4 linked regions of the Schizosaccharomyces pombe genome follow. The gene in region 4 interacts genetically with the main gene of each other region. Each region holds a gene or a part of one and is shown on either strand. Other genes may lie near its edges.

Region 1 (4,618 bases), 620 kb from region 4:
GTGGAAATGATGAAGACAATGAAGGTAGCAATCCGGACATCGCTTATATCAACAATTCCACAGATTTGAGGCTTAAGACTAGCGATTCCCAGATATTGCTTCTAAGGAGTGGTTGGTCTCAAGAAAGAATTTAAAACCTGAGCAGAAAAAAAAATACTTACGCTTTCGTCAAAGCACAATGTACACTAAAATTTTTACAGATAAATAAAAAAAATTAAATAAATCTATTCTAATTTTTAGAATTCAGTTTCTGTGTTAGGCAGTTTCTAACAATCCTATAGGACGAGAACTGGCAAATCCGAAAGAGTTGTTGGAAAATTTTTTGCTTGTCGTGGATTAACCAGTAGTGCGGTACACTGTGCTACGGTGTATGTTTAGGGTATGACATTTCACTTCCGCTTTTCGGTCTTCGAACCAAGGCATTTTATGAGCGGTCTACTTGATACAAAATTAAAGATTTATATTGCTTACCAACTAACTTGTAAAGGAGAATATTTTCTTTTTTTCTCTGAGCAAATATAAAAGTTTCATGTATGACGCAACCTGTTTTAAAAACACAACGCCATCTATGATTAAATATTGTTATTTTGGTTTACGTAATTTTTCAGCATCGGTATCTACATAACACAGTACTTAGGATATCGGTAATGAAGGGATAGCAGCCGATTTGTGCTTAATACATTAGTCAATGAAAGCTTGGTAAAGCCAGTAAACATATCAACAGCTCATCATAAGAATATCAGTAGAAAAACAAAACGATGTCGACCTATGGTATATTAAGAAAATTTAAAAGTAAAACCTTCGCAATAGTTTTTTTCTCATCACGCCGTTTGAGCTTTTAGCAATAAAAAGTCGAAAGTGGTTTTTTATAAAAAAATTGTATCTTTGGTAGTTTAGTATTTTAGGAACATTAGTAGTGAGCTTTTCCTAATAAAGTTATACTACAGTGAATGAGTTTGAGCTCTTATAGCATAAAGTAGTTTACTCATAAACCATCAGGTAACGTTAAAACGTATTGATTTATTCTACGTCTTTCAGTAGTAATTCGTGATCTGAGATATCTTAAACAGAGAATGGAAGAAAAAATAAAACAACATTTAAACCATGGTCAAAAATTTACCACAATACGAACAATGTAGCATTTTCCATCAATTGTCTGATGACCAGTATAATTCATGCATAAACAACAAAGGTTCCCTCCCCCATGTAATCCAATTAGGTGTGAGACTACGGCCAAAAATTTCTAAAACAGGAAGCGATTCATTTGCCGAACAATTAAACCAACGTGAAATGAAAGGTTTTAATGATGGTTTCCTGGAATGATAATCTGGAATACCAATTATTGTAAACGTTGGAGGGATTTTATCACTATATACAGATGTATATTCTGAAGTAACTCCAATCAAAAGCTGTTCCCAAGGTTTGCGCATGTTTGAATAAACATCAAATAATGGTTCGCCAAATGCCGTTATTTTAAGCCATGTCCATGTAGAGACAAGCGTTAAATTCCATTTTTTAAAAAGCACTTTTTTAACAAAATTTACATACTTTTCCTTATTTGTGCACCAAACTGCCACGACGCCGGTTTTGCTTAACGATTCCTGAATTGGTAATGCTTTTAAATATCCAAGGTTCCTGTTCACCTTATAGACAGAGCTCCTAGCTACAGATTTATTCGGCCATGGAGGGTCTATAATTATGCATTTGGGTTTTTCTAGATGGCCATCAATTGCTTCTAAAAGGATTTGCGCAGTTTTCTCCACGTCACCCATAATAAAAGAGGAACGAGCAGGGATGTAGTAAATTGAATCCCTACAATTAGTTTCAGACGATTCAGTAATAACCTTTGATCCCTTCAGCTTTAATTTTATAGCGGACGCTCCATCATTTTGGACACATTGTTGATAAATCTCTTCCAATCCAAGTTCAACTGTATCTTTAGACTTTATAGTTATAAATGAATATGACGGTGGAATAGTATTCAACATTTTCAACCATTGCAAGCACTGATCCTCAAACTGTATAACCGGTGCTTTAACTAGTACTTTGAAAATGTCTGAGTACCATTGCACTAAAGGAGCATTTTCAGCTTGAAAATGGATTTCTGATGCACTAGTATTTGACCTGTATACGATATCTTGAAATTGAACATGGTGTGATTTATCGGTTGATTGATTGTCATCCAAACTGCGCAACTGTAAAGCACGACGAACTCGCTGAAGGCTTTGCAGTACTTGCCCTACAGTGCCTTTGCCACTGTTTTCATAATCCGAAGTTGATTTTTCGGGGAGTAAATATGGCTTCACGACAGGCTTCGTTCGAGTGGGCAAAATATGTTTATTAAATTGCAGAGATGTTGGCAAGTCAATGAGACAACTAGTGTCGTCCATGTATAATATACATGGCATTAAAAATTACACGAATACCGAACCTCAAACAATCGTGATAAATGAAATGCACAAGGACACCGCTGAATTTCGTTATAGCAATCTATTAAATTAGTAGCTCAAAAAATAGCTTATGTGCGCTCAACTCAAAATAAGAAGTAGCGAGTTGAGTTAATTAAATTCAGTCGGATAAGAATAATTGAAAATACCGCTCTCGACGCGTGACAAACGTGTATACTTTATCGAAAGTTACTCGATAGGTTTCGTCGTACCCATCAACTGGAGTGCAGTTAAACTTATTATGCTTAATACCAAATATTGAAACAACAAATCTCTATTGATATTTTAAAAACTTCCATTTAATGATATTTTTTAAAACTAATTTACGAAAACCGAATCTAGTTAACGTAGTTCTTTCAAACTAATACGGAAACATTGGTGTGCGATTTTCGATACTCCCCACAATAACATTGAACGATATAAAAAATCCAAGCTATTAAGAAGTACAAATTTTTCTATTGAACGAATTAGGTAATCAAAGCATTCATAGCTTGCAAAAACCAATGTTTTGTGGTTAGTCAGCCTTCAAAATGGTAACAAATTTATATGCTGCCAGTACGAAATATTAATTACATAAGGAAAACGATATGCTTAGTCTTACAAATACACACCTACCTTATCTCGCCTTAACGTCTCCACTATCAAGTAAGCAATTGCTGGTGATGACTAAATATATTTAATAACAAGCATCATAAAGATCGTTAGGATAGGAATCTGCAAAAATCGGAGCGTAAATAAATAAGCAGTTAATGGCGTAATGTTTTCACAAAATGATAACCACACTATTATAAAGCCATTACTTTTTTGACGAGATAGCATCATACAATTTATTGATAGGATTCAAGCAAAGGACCTGCAATCAGTATATAAATACGCTTCGTTTTTATGTTCAATTCGATCTTAAATTTTAGTTTGCCGATTCTATAGAACATTTTGGCATTGGAGTTTATGAATTTTTAAAAAAAACAACGCAGTCCGGCATTCTACGGTATTTGCTTTCGACGTTAATATATATCGAAACGTGGAACCATATTTTATTCACATTAATTTCCTCATCGAACCAACTCCGGTTTATCTCCTCGGACATTTATTAGATGAACCTATTCGGCTCGTGAGATTTGCTATATAAACATTACTAAATTGGGAATTGTCGTTACCAATTTTTTTTGCGATCAGGATCGACATTGGGATGCATAATCGTTTCGCTTCGTTTTAGTTAAACATTTTTTTATTTTGCTTGTATTGCATAGACATTGCGCGATTACAATTTTTTTGGTTGTTTACTTATTTGCGGTGTTTATTTTATTTCTTGTCAGTCATTATCAGGGAAGCGGTATTTGTTTGATTTTCTTTCCCGTCATTATAATCGGTTTCACTTAATTTCTGGATTCGTTTTATTTATTCTCCTTAATTATCACTTAATTCATTAATATATCTTTTTTACTTTTTTTTTGGAAAGAAGCTTTTACAATCACAATTCTTAGAGCAATGGCTGTGATCACGGAAGAGAACTCTAATAATTTATTTTGCACAGATTCATTGGAATTAACCTCGGTATGTTTTCTGCCTTTAATTTTTTTAGTTATCTTTTTTTCTTTAAAAAAAAGAATAGAAAAAAATCCTTATTTTTCTAAATATTCAAATATGGTGTACGCTAACTAATGATATTAGAATAAACAGGATGATCAAGTTATTTCGAATTACTTAAAGCCCGTCCGTTCATACCCCTACATTAAATATTCTCGAAGTAGCTTATTATTAACGGCATCTACAACTTTACCCGAAAACTTTGTGATTTCATTTACCAACTCCATTGAGAGTGAAGAGAGCGATAAATCTGATTACCTTCTCGATCATGCTCATAGCTTACAGGAATTATCGACTACTCACTCATCACTATCAAGCACTTTAACATCTATGTCGGAAGAGTCATCTTCCACAGAATCGAAATTTGCTACCCTTAATGATGGCATAAATGGTGGTAATCCATATAGCAGACTTTATCGAAAAAATCCATCTTCTGATCCAAACGATATCCCACCTCAGTTTCACTTTAAAAAGAAGTCTAAATCATTTTATAGTAGCATGTATGATAAGATGAAGATCAGAATTAATATCCTTCCGAACGGAAACGACAATTTTATAAAAAAACGGAACTCCGGCTTCGCTCT
Region 2 (3,262 bases), on a different chromosome or scaffold from region 4:
GCAGGTGCTTTCAAGTTTTTTTTTGAATTTTGGCTAAGAAGCAAACGAAAGATTTTGAAGACTATGCTTTCGCAACTTTATGAACGCAGTAAATTCTGCTTATGAATGGTGCATACAACGGTTTATGGACTTGCATATTTATTTTATTCTGGCATTAATTGCATTTTGCTTTACCAGTTGGAGATTGAATCGAAGTTTTATATAAGATACCAACTAATAATGCGTGTACAAAAAGAGACAACAGACGCATTTACATTACAATTAGCATCTAAAGAAGTGATAACATCAAGCATATATAATACATTTAATAATACTAATGAGCATATGTATCTTCAACCCATATGTAACCGAATCTTCCTTATGACAAGCATTATTGATATTGCAAGTTTTAAGGCACAAGTATTGTTTCTAAATATCTTTATGATCAAATAATAATTAGCTTATTTGTAATAGCTTGTCTTCGATCATTTTTTGTAACTATTGCTACAAATATTATTCATCGAAACAAACTAATTTACCAATTTACCACCTAGCAAATTACCCAAATCTTTAAATCGTAAAAATTTTAAGGAAAATTAAATCGCCATCAAAATATTAACAATATGGTATAAAGACTTTTTTAAACATGAACTATCAGAAAAATGCAAAAGTCCTTTGATGTAGCGGCCAAAGCTTTTTAGTTTAAATGCATGATAGTACAATCATCAGTACATCTTTAACTCAGAATTCAGGAGAAACAAATATTGTACCTCATATACTAACAAAATGATAGTATGATACTTTTATTATAATCGGATTAAACGAAATTAGCACTCAGCAACTTCATTTGATTTACGTGGAGAACTTTTGGCCTGTTGCATAGCCAAGGCAAAAATACGACTGGAATTTGCATTTTCATTTAATAATCTTTGATTCCAATGTGAGCCTGACTGCTGTATTAGTGGTATATCTTCGTTGCGAATTACAGAGCCGATGGACATGAAAAAGCCAAAAGTGGCCGCAGATGTTAACATGTATTGACCTAAGGTCCTTAAGAATCCACGTGGACCAGGCCCATAGCGCAAAACTGCTACTCCTCCAAATAAAAACCCGATGCCAAGTCCAGCAGCTGAACCCATAATGGCGCCCATTTTTACTGTTCAGTGTTAATGACTGAATTCATACAATATAGAACTTACGCTTATCCACAGTTGAAGGTTGCATAGATTGCATTTTGAGTAGTTAAAGGTCTTACTTTTATTTAGAAATAGAGAGCACTAGTTTCAAGGGGGATTTTGTTGGTAGGAAAAGTAAGGTAGTATACAGTTATTATATTGGATACCTAGGTATAACAATAGATGTAACAATTTCTTTTGTTAAATCAATAGTTTAGTTTAGGAAATGTTAATTTAAAGAAAACCTATATATATATTTTTTATAAGCCCAGTTTTTTTAAGTAAATGTAACAATGTATTACATCCAGGCATGCGTTAAGTGAGAGCATAGGCTTAACGTTATAATGACTTCTGAATTAAAATAAAACATTGCATTGGCATGTATTGCAATTGCTAAAGTCTGCTATGTATATCTGACATATATAATAAATTAATTCCCCTCGGCTTCGGATTGAATTTCCTACCTTTTGTTATTAAGAAGCCTATCGCTAATTAATTACTAACATGTCCTTAGCGAAATTTAATTGAGTTGCATTCTTAGTTACATCTACAAATGGCAAAGTTCTAATGAGGGAGTGTTGTCATTCCTGCAGCAATTATTTTATTATTTAATAGACAAGTAGAACATAAAAGAACAAAAATGGATATATGTATATATATATATATATATATATGTCAAAAAACATTATTTTAAAGATAGCCTTCGTCAGACAATTGTGAAAGGACAGCAAAAGTAACCTCAGAAACAGAGTCTTTGGGCTTGATGTTTACGGTAGTCCACTCAGCAGGTACTTTAACAGATGCATCAGCATCAGCCAGAGAAACAACAACGGCAGCACCAGCACGTTGCAATTCTTGGGCGTAAAACACTGAAATAGCATCTAAGCGAGGTAAAAGAGTGACATGGCGGCGACCATCCTCGTTCAAGGCTGAAACTAGAGCGCTGGGGAGAAGTTTATCGGAGGTGGCAGGAACAGCCAAAACAAATCCTTGAGAGTATTTGGGAGGATAGGATTGACGTAAAATAGCGACAACCTCTGGATAAGAGAACCACTCAGGGATGTTGGCACCGACGCGAAGACGGCGACGAAGTTCAGTACCACTGATGTTCAAAGTACGGGTACCGGGTTCGACTTTGTCAACTGGCTTGTAGATGTCCTCATCAGGAAGGTAAGTCATCATTTGGAAAGGAACAATGGTGATACCGATTTCCTGAGCGTATTGTTCAACAAGGTACTGAGCATCGTAAGGACCATAAAAATCCTCGCCTTGACTGTTCTTACCAGGACCAGCATGATCACGACCAATGATGAAATGAGAAGCACCGTAGTTCTTACGAATGATGGCGTGCCATAAAGCTTCACGAGGACCAGCCATACGCATGGCTAAGGGAAGAAGAGAGAGCTTGGCGGAACCCTTAGGATAGCGTTGGAGAATAGCCTCGTAAACACGCACACGGGTGAAGTGATCGATATCACCAGGCTTGGTCATACCGACGACAGGGTGAATGAGCACACGGGCACCGTGTTGCTTAGCAGCACGGACGGTAAGCTCACGATGGGCGCGATGCATGGGATTACGGGTTTGGAAAGCAACGACGCGATTCCAGTTGTTACGCTGGAAGTCAGAGCGAAGTTGAGCAGGTGAGTAGCGGTACTCTACGAAATCGAAATGGCGAATAGGAGTAACGGCTTGAAGTTTACCACCAACATACACATTTCCAGCACGACCAAACAAGTAGTCGACGGCAGGGTGGGCGCGATCATTAGCACCAAATACCTTTTCAGCTTCGTTCGCCTTATCTGGGGTATACTTGTCCTCAACAGTCAAAATGGCAATAACAGTTTGCCCATCCCTAGGATCTAATAATGCAACACGATCACCGGCCTTCAAAGAATCGGCCTGCGATTCATTGAGGTCCAAGGTGATAGGGATGGGAAAGACCTCGCCAGTGCTGAGACGCAAATTCTCGACGACATTCAAATAATCCTTTTGGTTCATGAATCCGTCTAATGGACTGAAACCTCCGTTCAAAATGAGTTCCACATCGCAAAACTGACGTTCCGATAGTACAATTTTGGGAAGGCTAGTAGCCTCCTGTTCCAGTT
Region 3 (3,835 bases), 340 kb from region 4:
GGCCCACCTTCTGGTCAGCCGAATGGTCACATTGAATCTGACAATGAGTCTAAATCTCCTTCACAAAAAGAATCGAATGAAAGTGAGGATATTCAAATAGCAGAGACCCCTAGCAATGTTACTCCGAAAAAGAAGCCTAGTCCGGAAGTTCCCAAACTTCCGGACAACAGAGAGCTGACGGTTAAACAAGTAGAAAACTATGATTCTTGGGAAGACTTGGTATCTAGCATCGATACAATTGAACGAAAAGATGATGGAACCTTGGAAATTTATCTGACTTGGAAGAACGGTGCAATATCTCATCATCCTAGTACTATCACCAATAAAAAATGTCCTCAGAAGATGCTTCAATTTTATGAAAGCCACTTAACGTTCCGTGAAAATGAATAATTTTTTTGTGTTCCTTTAAAAAATTCTTTTTCTTTTGTTTATAAATTAGATTTCGCTTTTTTCTGACGTTATTGCTTTTATCAAGTCCCGTGTCGTAGTATGAGTTCTTGTTCTCTTACTCGAAAAATGCATCTAACATTATACTTATACAAATTTTTGTTAGGCGCTTAACATCACATTCTAGTTTATGAACGCCTTTGTTTTCTTTCACATTGAATTGATTACGAGTGACTTGAGAAATGTAAAATACCTTTTGTCGTTATGGTTTGACATTCTAAATAACCTAAGGTTTGACATTCTAGATAACCTAATTTCTTTAATTTTACCATTTATTAATTTAGCATGCACTGCTCTTCATGCATTCAAAATCGTGTCTAATAATAACGTAATTTTACTCGTTAAATAAAGAATTTATGCATGCAAAATCGTTACTCATAAACCTCAGCAGATAAATTTGTTAACAAAAATGAGGGTGCATGAATATCTGCCTTCTCCGTTTCTTCTGTTCCATATGCTTCTAAGTTTGGGTTACCAACTGAACTCAAAGATAGGGTCAAGATGTAGTGTATCAAGTTTGAATCTTTATCAAGTACTATGTTGCCTCTTGAGAAATTCGTTTGAGAATAGCTGTATAGCTAAAGATAAATAAGGGTTTGAATGTAATTGTTGCTATGTAAACACAGTTGTAATTATAGATTTTTAATTGTTGCTGCTTTTGTACATTAGCAAAAAAAAATACAAGCAAGTTATGATGAAGAAGTCTGGTTATGCTATTTTTCTAAGAAGCTGGGATAAATTCATATTTTGTTCCTCTTTTTTTTTTTTTTTAAATATGTTTATGTCAGATTGGCAGATTTACCATATAAACACATAATGGCAAATTATGGCAAACTTTGCAAATGAACATGTATTTATCGAATTTCCTTGTTATCTTTTTTTATTGCTAGCAACACATGAAGACATCAGTCCCCTCTCGGCAATACATATTATCGATTGACACTACTGTATGCTGAGACTGAACAACAGAGTTCTCACTTGGACTTTTTGCTTGCTCCTCAAAGACTTTTAAAAAATTAAATAATAACTATTATATTTCTAACTGTTTTTAATCTAATTATTAGTCACAAGTTGCGCTTTTGTTATATATATGACTTCTATTCAAATTGTGTATACCTCTTTGAACTGCAACGTACTGTGGCTAATTATAATAATATTTAATGCTAAATGTTTTTAACGATGTTGATTGATAAAAAACCGCGTAATCATCAGAAAAGGAAGGATGCTTTTCTTTGCTATTCAAAACAAAGGGACGTAATTGTGCACTGTAACATTGCAATACGGTAGATTGTTCATTGACCCAAAATCACTAGACTTAACCAGTTTTATAATTTGCCTAGTAATCCTTGAAGTGTAATGATAAATTCAAAAAGCAAAAAGAAGGAATCAAATGCCCTCGTTTTAAAGTCGCTTTTGCGGGAACCTTACAACAAAGTTTGCGCGGATTGTAAGCGCAATGAACAACCACGATGGGCAAGTTGGAACTTGGGTGTTTTCATTTGTATCAGGTAAGTAATAGCTGCTTAAAATTGAAATCATTAACACTTGTTAGATGCTCAGGAGTGCATCGAAGTCTTGGAGTTCATGTTAGTCGTGGTATGATTACCTAGGATACAAAATTTAATGTTAAAAAACTCAGAATCAGAAATTAACAGACAAAACTAGTAAAATCTGTTGATTTGGATTCATGGACAGATGAACAAACTGAAAATATGACAAGATGGGGAAATGAACGTGCTAATTTGTAAGTTTGTCTACTTTTCAAAAAAACTTTGCGCTCACGTCCTAAAATATAAAAACTAACAACTTTAATAGGTATTGGGAAGCCAAACTTGCGGGTGGTCACGTTCCCTCTGATAGGTAGGTTTTTATTGATAATCCTTAGCATAGCTGGCATTGAATGTTATCTTTCTAGGCTACATACCCTTTACACGTTGCTAGCAAATTGGAAGCTTCTTTTTTGTTTTTTTTACTGCATATTTTCTGACCTAGATTTAGTAAAATTGCGACTTTTATAAAGACGAAATACGAATTTAAAAAATGGGTACTCTACCCTGAAATTCCTTCTCCGGAAACGCTAAAACCGGAACAGAATACCAGACCTGTTTCAGAAGTCAACGCCTCTTTAGATCTTAATACTGCTTCTCGATCTTCCAGTGCTCACTCAGTTAAAAGCACTTCTTCTGCTACAGTTACCAACGTTACTTCCAAGAAAGAAGCTATATCAGCTACCACTTCTTTAGCCCAGTCGTCTCCTAATTTAGCTTCTTTATCCAAGCAACCTTCTACTGTGCATGCTCCTTCGACTAGACAACGAGATTTAAAGTCTTCAATTCTCTCCTTATATGCATCTCCACGACCACAAGTAAGTTCTTCAAGCATAACCACCAATGCAACATACCAAAATCTACCGTCCCCAGTTTCAACTAGTACTACGTCTAGCCAACCTTATGGTGCTTTTCATCAACCGGCTACGACAGGATCCTCCTTTGTGGCAGATAAGTGGAAGATGCCTATGTTCACTTCTAATGTGACCAGTGCACAACCATCTGCTAGAGCATCACCCGTTCAATCCAATTCTTCTCGGCCGCGATCTTCTTTAGACAGTAAGATTATTAATTCTCATGATGTTTGGAAATAGCCTTTAGTGACGCTTATACAAATTAACAGAGGTTTTTACTACTTATTTTGAAATATTTCATTAATTTAGCTATTTAAGTTCATCAATCGATGTCGGCATTTATGGATTCCTATATTCAACCTTCATTATAATACATTTTCTACTTTTCAGTAAATATAAATGACATAAATGTATTTATTAGGTCTATTATCGCTGAAAGTTTATTAAGTATTAAAAGCTAGCACACATTGTATGTATTCCGTAAAAAGATGCCTACGATATTTGGGAAAATTGCCTTGATCAATTTCAACTTTCCCAGAAATTTGAAAGATTTGATTTACATGAAACAAACCAGTGGAATAAAGAATGTCCCTCAATCTATTAATGTTAGTTGTACAACAAATGTTAGATTTGCTATACGCCCGTAAAGAAGTTAACACTGAAAGGAGCGGAGTAGCGAATTTTGAGACATGGAAATAATATGGACGAATGTAGAAAAGAAAAAAGAAAAAAGAAAAAACAAGAAAAAAAACAGGATCAACTATATTAACCCTTGACCTCCTGAGGTTTTAAGCAAACAAGTTTACATATGCTTGTTGTTCATTCAACATAATAAAAGAAGGTAAAAACTAAATTTCTTCTTTCACGTTACAATTCCAACCATTGTTTTGCTCTGACAACATAGACAAACTAGCTCCCAAACACCATCCAAGTTCCTTGTTGTCAATTTTCTTAGCAGTATGGAGCTGTCGGTTATTGGGGATTTCA
Region 4 (5,558 bases):
TATTTCAACATGCTTATTTGCACGATGCAAACAGTGCGAAAAAAACTTACAATAACACCATCATAGTATCCTTCTTTTGCTAAAGTATAGAAATTTTGACATGTCTATAAGTTAGCGATTCTACTTTCAAAGCAAACAACACTGTTCGTCCTTTATTCTTGATGCGTACTTTAGGAGCATGTTCTGTATACAATTCAATAAGAATTTTTCCCTAAAAAATGTTAAATGCTTGAGCTTGGAAAAGATCTTACCAAACTTGTTTGTAACTCTACATTAGCCATGGTATTTACTAGTTTTTACACGATTTTCTTGCAGTTTTTCGCTGCTTGTTCAAGTAATAAGTTGAAGTTGCAACCTCGCTAAAAATACTGAAAAGGCAATTGCACAGACAATTTTAAAAGTGCTTAATAATATGTCACGTACTTCATTCCAAAAAAACAGACTCTTTGTACAATGCAGATAACCTAGATATCCTACAACTTCAAATGTATTTCTTCAACTATCGAAGTAAGCAGGTTACATATTGAATTCCACTCAAATTTAATATCATACTAATTAGCATTGAGCGACCAAATACTTAATTGGAATAAATTTAATTTATACAGAACAAGCAGAAGGGTCATAAATTTCTAAACATAATACGACCTATGCTGCAGTTCATTGAAATTGTATCCGCTAGTGCTAGTTGATTGTGATAAATAAGATGAAGAAAAAGTCAAATCGATTGAAATAAACGAGACTAAAAAGATTGTGATTTAGAACGAAGAGTTAGAAAGCCAAAAGAAAAGATTGATTAAGATAAAAAATTTTATACCTAAATTAAATAAGAAAAATGTATTTCAAAAAAGATGCCAGCAATAGCCGGTCATACTAAATACAAAAATTACCTTGCTTCAGACATGCAAGTTATTATCATTGGAGTAAGTTCCAAGTACAACATCACATGTACAAAACTCAACAGGTTCCAAGAGAAACATTGTAGCAGAGCAGCAAAATATAATTTAATCATTAAATGCATTTATTGCTTCCCGGATAACCGTGGTTCCATATAGCAAGTTGAACAAGTAAAAGAAAAACATCAGAAAAAGAATGGAGGTCTATAAAGATATTGTTGGTGTATAAAAAGAGTTCCAATATGGGACAAAATGAAAGCTTAATTCAAAAAGTTCCAATACTTCCACGAGTATACATTATGTTCAATTATCAAACGATTAGCTTTTTTGATAATCCTTTTTTTTCCAAAGCATCACGAGAAAAATGAAGTTTGCAAAGGTTTTGGAGAATCAAAAAAAAATGATAATAATAATAATAAAAGAATTTAACTTTGGACGGATTGTCGTTGACGAAATACAGCAAAAGGACTACTACTTACACTCATTCGAGAAACAGGTCTGGATGCCGAAGCTTGAAAATAAGAGAGTTCCAAATTATCCAAAAACCCCTTATCTTCAAAAATCAGCTGGAATTCTGTAGCCAAATGGTCAAAAGTTGTAGAAGAACCGCTTTCCAACACAAAGACAGCTTGTGAACCAAAAAACTCAGCCAGTACCGATATTCTAAACCGAACCGGTTTAAGATTAAGTGAATTTTGTCGTTTAATACGAGCAGATATCGAAGCACTCACAGAATCATATATAATATCAGCAATGCCGATACCAAGAAGCTGCCATCTTCTAAGAACTTCTAAAATTTCATGTTCCAATTCTGAAGCAACCAAGCTGGCATAGACGCATTTACAAGAAGGCTCACTACTAAATAATCTCCTTAAAAATGATCGTTTTGGTTGAAAAGGTGAGCCGGAAAGCTTTTTCTTTGTAGAAGAAGGAGAGAATAACGATTGTCTTCTTCTATGTTTGGGAACATTCAACGAATCATAAGAGGCTGGTGATTGAGAGAGATCAGCACGCATTGATCTCTCCCCACTAGGGGTACGAAGACGACGAGAGTTGTTCATGGTTGCATTTGCGTATGGTTGATTATAGTTATTATTATCAATATTATTAGAGAATTGTTCATTTCCTACGTTGAAGCGAGTAACTCTTGGATTAAAAGCACTGCCGCGCGGGAAGCTTACGACTCGATTACCAGTGTGTTCGGACATTCTAGAAGTGACACGCTTTCTTGGAGGTCCCATACCTGTCGGGAAATTGGAAGCTGCTAAATTACCAACAATACTAGGGTCATTCTCATTCATACGAAAATCATTTGACATATCCAGTGAAGTAGCGCGACGACTTAGTTGAACTTCCGGATCGTTTATAGAAACGTTAAAGTTGCGAGGAGATAATGCAGAAGGAGGTCGGTAATTTGATGACAGCATTGAACTATCGTGGGGATATGCAAGTCCTGGGGTAACTGATTTTGGGAGTTGAGGAACAGCAGAAGATGTAGTGGCTGGTCGTTGAAGTATGGATTGGGGGTTGGTAGCATTAAAAGAGTAATTAAAAGTGCCAGAAGTGGTAACAGGTGTAAGAAATGGCGATGCAGAAGTAGCAGGTCGAGGAACAGACTCTGCAGCATAAGAAATTGGATAAGGCGCTAAAGTAGGAATATTGATAGCTTGTTCAATTTCTTCCTCGTCCATTTGCTGCCCGTTGGATGCTGCTGTACCAAGGAGATCATCGACCACAGCGCGGTTGCGATCAACTGCAGCGCTGGAAGGCGGATGCAAGTGTCTGCTCAGTAGAGTATATAGAGTTTTTTCAACCAAGGGTGATTGAGATGCCAATTTTTCATACAAGGGCATAGGATCATCGGAACATCTGAAAACTAAAGAGAGATGCTGCACTATTAATGGATCAATGGGTTGTATAGGGGCTGATATGATTGGAATAGAAATATTGGGATGAACAAAGCAACTAAGAAACGGGTGTTCACGAATTTGTTCCATGGTAATTCGAGTAGATGAATCAACATCAAGCATGCGGTACAACAGATGTTGGGCTTGAGGAGAGATATTTGATGGCATTTCAAATTGACCCTGACAGACTTTTAGCAACAAAGAACGAATGTTGTCATCATCAAACGGTAATTTCCCTGTTAACAAAGCAAAAAATATAATTCCACATGACCAAATATCGCTAGCACAACCATCATATGAACGCCCCATAATAATTTCTGGGGATGCGTAATGGGGAGACCCGCAGGAAGTCTGCAAAAGCTTTCCTGGCTGTTGAATAGACGCCATACCGAATTCACCGATTTTGATAGAACCATGGGCATCCAAGTATAAGTTCTCTGGCTTTAAATCCCGGTGGCAGATATGAAGTTTATGACAATACTCCAATCCACACAAAATCTGCCATAGAAACTTTGCCGTATCTTGCTCAGTAAAACTTCCTTTACGAAGCATGCAGTCAAAAAGCTCACCACCTGGCATATATTCGACTACGACAAAGAGTTGCTCCTGGGCTGAAATCACATCTATGAGCTGCAAAACATTAGGATGCTCGATCAATCGAAGCAAAACTAATTCACCCTCTATCCTAGCCTGTTGGCTCGAAGTAAGCTCGGACCATCCTACAATCGGTTTTACTACGGCTAATTGCCCAGTTTCACGATGTTTGGCTAAACGTGATGAATTTGGTCCTCCTGATCCTAAGGAAAGACCAAGCTCCCAAGGTCCAACTTCTGAAATTGTACTCATACACTTCAACTATTCAAAAGAACCAGTAAATCGGTGAAGTGGTGATGGCCAAATCCAAACCCCATTCATAGAACAGCATATGTGGGATGTTCTCCGTAATGCTCCCTAAACTTGTAAGCTATAGTATTTGAGTGCATTTAATTACAACAAAATATATATGTGAAATTGATTTTAACATTTGTAAAATTTTTAGTATATAATTTGTTGTTTTGTCTTAATCCTTCCTACTTGCAACTGTACTTTAGGGAAATATCAGTTAATTTTCGTGATGTTCAAGAAGATACGTATAATTATTAGTTTTTACAAAAATCGCTTACAATTAGTGTATTCAACATTGTTTTAAAGACCGTAATCAAAATTGGCTCTACTAGTAGTACGGTGTAGCAATTACTGCTTTTGTAAATGATCAAGATATTTTAGTTCAATGTTTCACAGTTTAATCGTTGAAAAAATATTACTTAGACAACTCTGTTAAAAAATGATTGAAAGGACTCTTAGAGCCTTCAAATAGGATTGGAGCTCAGTAGTAGATTTCAAATGGCTACATTCACCTGCCTAAAATATATAACTATCTTAATGAGCACATACATAATCTCTAAATAGTTTGACTATTTGACAAGTTTATGGCCATAAGAAATCAACAAAATTATCTTTTTTGAATACCTTGCTCTACTGATATCAATTTACAAGATGCATAAGTAAATATAGTTGCCAATCGTTAATTCATTCATACCATATATACATCGTTTTGCTATTAGAATGTTAAAAAAAGATTCATAGAAACGACAACAATATTTGATTTTTAATCAAAACATTGACAAGTCTAGATATGAAAAGAAGGTAGTAATATAAACCTAATCAAGTTTCCCATATCATGATTATCTTCCACACAATTTGAATAGATAAATCAATAGAAAGAAAACATTATCGGTATTTATTGACATCCGCTGTTAAAATGGCATCAGTATTATGAAATTATTCATTAAATATTATAGTTTTTGAAAGAAGCGGCGAAGACAGCGCAGATTGGGCTTGATAATTAAAAGTAACTGCGACGCTTAGCACTGTGTTCCGTTAAACATGAGTAGTCTTCTTCTAAATGCCTTTTTTGAGAACAAGGTTGAGGGAGGGACGCGACATATGCAGACGCTGTACCCAGATCACAACTCACAGATACGGCAAGTGGTAAGACGCTTGCAAAAGGCATATTAAATGTAACTGGACCAGTAGCATTGTTCAATTTTTGAGCATTATAGCAGTAAGCAACACCTCCATTGGACTTAGAAGTCATTGGCCGATATACTCCAACCTTTGGTGAAGAAGGAGTTGGTGGTAGACTAACTGGCTTAGAAAGGCTTGACAACCGACCCGGTAATACTTGAGGATTTACATAAACTTGCGGTTCCATAAGCGGTATTTGTTCGGGTGGCGAAGCAGTAGTCAAAGTGCGGGACTGATTTGAAGCCTGAATATGTGCTTTACAGACATTCATAGGAGCCAGTTGTTTGGCAATGGGTAAAACAGATGGAGTGGATGGAGGGGTACTGCCAACAGATACTGGAGTAGAAGGTGCCATCGTAAGAATAGGTGATGAGTCTTGAGTTGTTTGAGGAGAAGAGGAGGGCTTCCTCGTAGCCTGATTCTTCAAAGCAGCATTAGCATTCATTCTGCGATGTGCTATCTTCGTTAAACAGGCAATGGAAAAAAGATCATCTAGAGAAGATTGAACATTAGAAAACAAAGAGACCCAATATTGTGCGACGCTGCCAAATGAGGCAACATTAGGATCGGTGGAATCATAACGTGCAGTCGCGTGAGCACAACATTCACCAACTAAAAGAGACCATCTAGCAAAAATATGTTTAGGAACGACAAGACGATAATCGATGCATTGGTAAAACATATATTCCAA

Evidence for each region.
Region 1: mutations in cdr2 (region 4) and ime4 together harm fitness more than expected from each alone (negative genetic interaction), as found in Schizosaccharomyces pombe (one large-scale study listed by BioGRID).
Region 2: mutations in cdr2 (region 4) and mgr2 together harm fitness more than expected from each alone (negative genetic interaction), as found in Schizosaccharomyces pombe (one large-scale study listed by BioGRID).
Region 3: mutations in cdr2 (region 4) and SPOM_SPAC824.09C together harm fitness more than expected from each alone (negative genetic interaction), as found in Schizosaccharomyces pombe (one large-scale study listed by BioGRID).

The regions. Positions count from the first base shown.
Region 1 is NC_003424.3:745,995-750,612, forward strand, and holds ime4 (mRNA (2'-O-methyladenosine-N(6)-)-methyltransferase), read right to left. Parts: upstream 2,656-4,618; 5' UTR 2,409-2,655; coding exon 1,149-2,408; 3' UTR 543-1,148; downstream 1-542. Other genes in the region: bifunctional carbamoyl-phosphate synthase/aspartate carbamoyltransferase Ura1, read right to left, coding at 1-40; serine/threonine protein kinase Ppk8, read left to right, coding at 3,936-4,001, 4,119-4,618.
Region 2 is NC_003423.3:1,569,641-1,572,902, forward strand, and holds mgr2 (protein Mgr2), read right to left. Parts: upstream 1,280-3,262; 5' UTR 1,213-1,279; coding exon 1,179-1,212; exon of another isoform or gene 1,136-1,178; coding exon 807-1,135; 3' UTR 564-806; downstream 1-563. Other genes in the region: SPOM_SPBC27.05 (uncharacterized protein), read left to right, coding at 106-432; sua1 (sulfate adenylyltransferase), read right to left, coding at 1,845-3,262. UniProt on the Schizosaccharomyces pombe protein: Required for cell viability in cells lacking mitochondrial DNA.
Region 3 is NC_003424.3:1,699,570-1,703,404, reverse strand, and holds SPOM_SPAC824.09C (GTPase-activating protein), read left to right. Parts: upstream 1-1,781; 5' UTR 1,782-1,803; coding exon 1,804-1,955; exon of another isoform or gene 1,956-1,999; coding exon 2,000-2,043; exon of another isoform or gene 2,044-2,111; intron 2,112-2,112; coding exon 2,113-2,191; intron 2,192-2,262; coding exon 2,263-2,307; intron 2,308-2,445; coding exon 2,446-3,088; 3' UTR 3,089-3,272; downstream 3,273-3,835. Other genes in the region: heterochromatin (HP1) family chromodomain protein Swi6, read left to right, coding at 1-390; Golgi nucleoside-diphosphatase Gda1, read right to left, coding at 3,697-3,835. UniProt on the Schizosaccharomyces pombe protein: GTPase-activating protein for the ADP ribosylation factor family.
Region 4 is NC_003424.3:1,362,934-1,368,491, reverse strand, and holds cdr2 (serine/threonine protein kinase Cdr2), read right to left. Parts: upstream 3,697-5,558; 5' UTR 3,647-3,696; coding exon 1,319-3,646; 3' UTR 524-1,318; downstream 1-523. Other genes in the region: cyclophilin family peptidyl-prolyl cis-trans isomerase Cyp1, read right to left, coding at 51-104, 170-211, 252-281; cyclin Pas1, read right to left, coding at 4,686-5,558. UniProt on the Schizosaccharomyces pombe protein: Acts as a mitotic inducer. In G2 it negatively regulates wee1, a mitotic inhibitor. Also has a role in cytokinesis where it required for proper septum formation.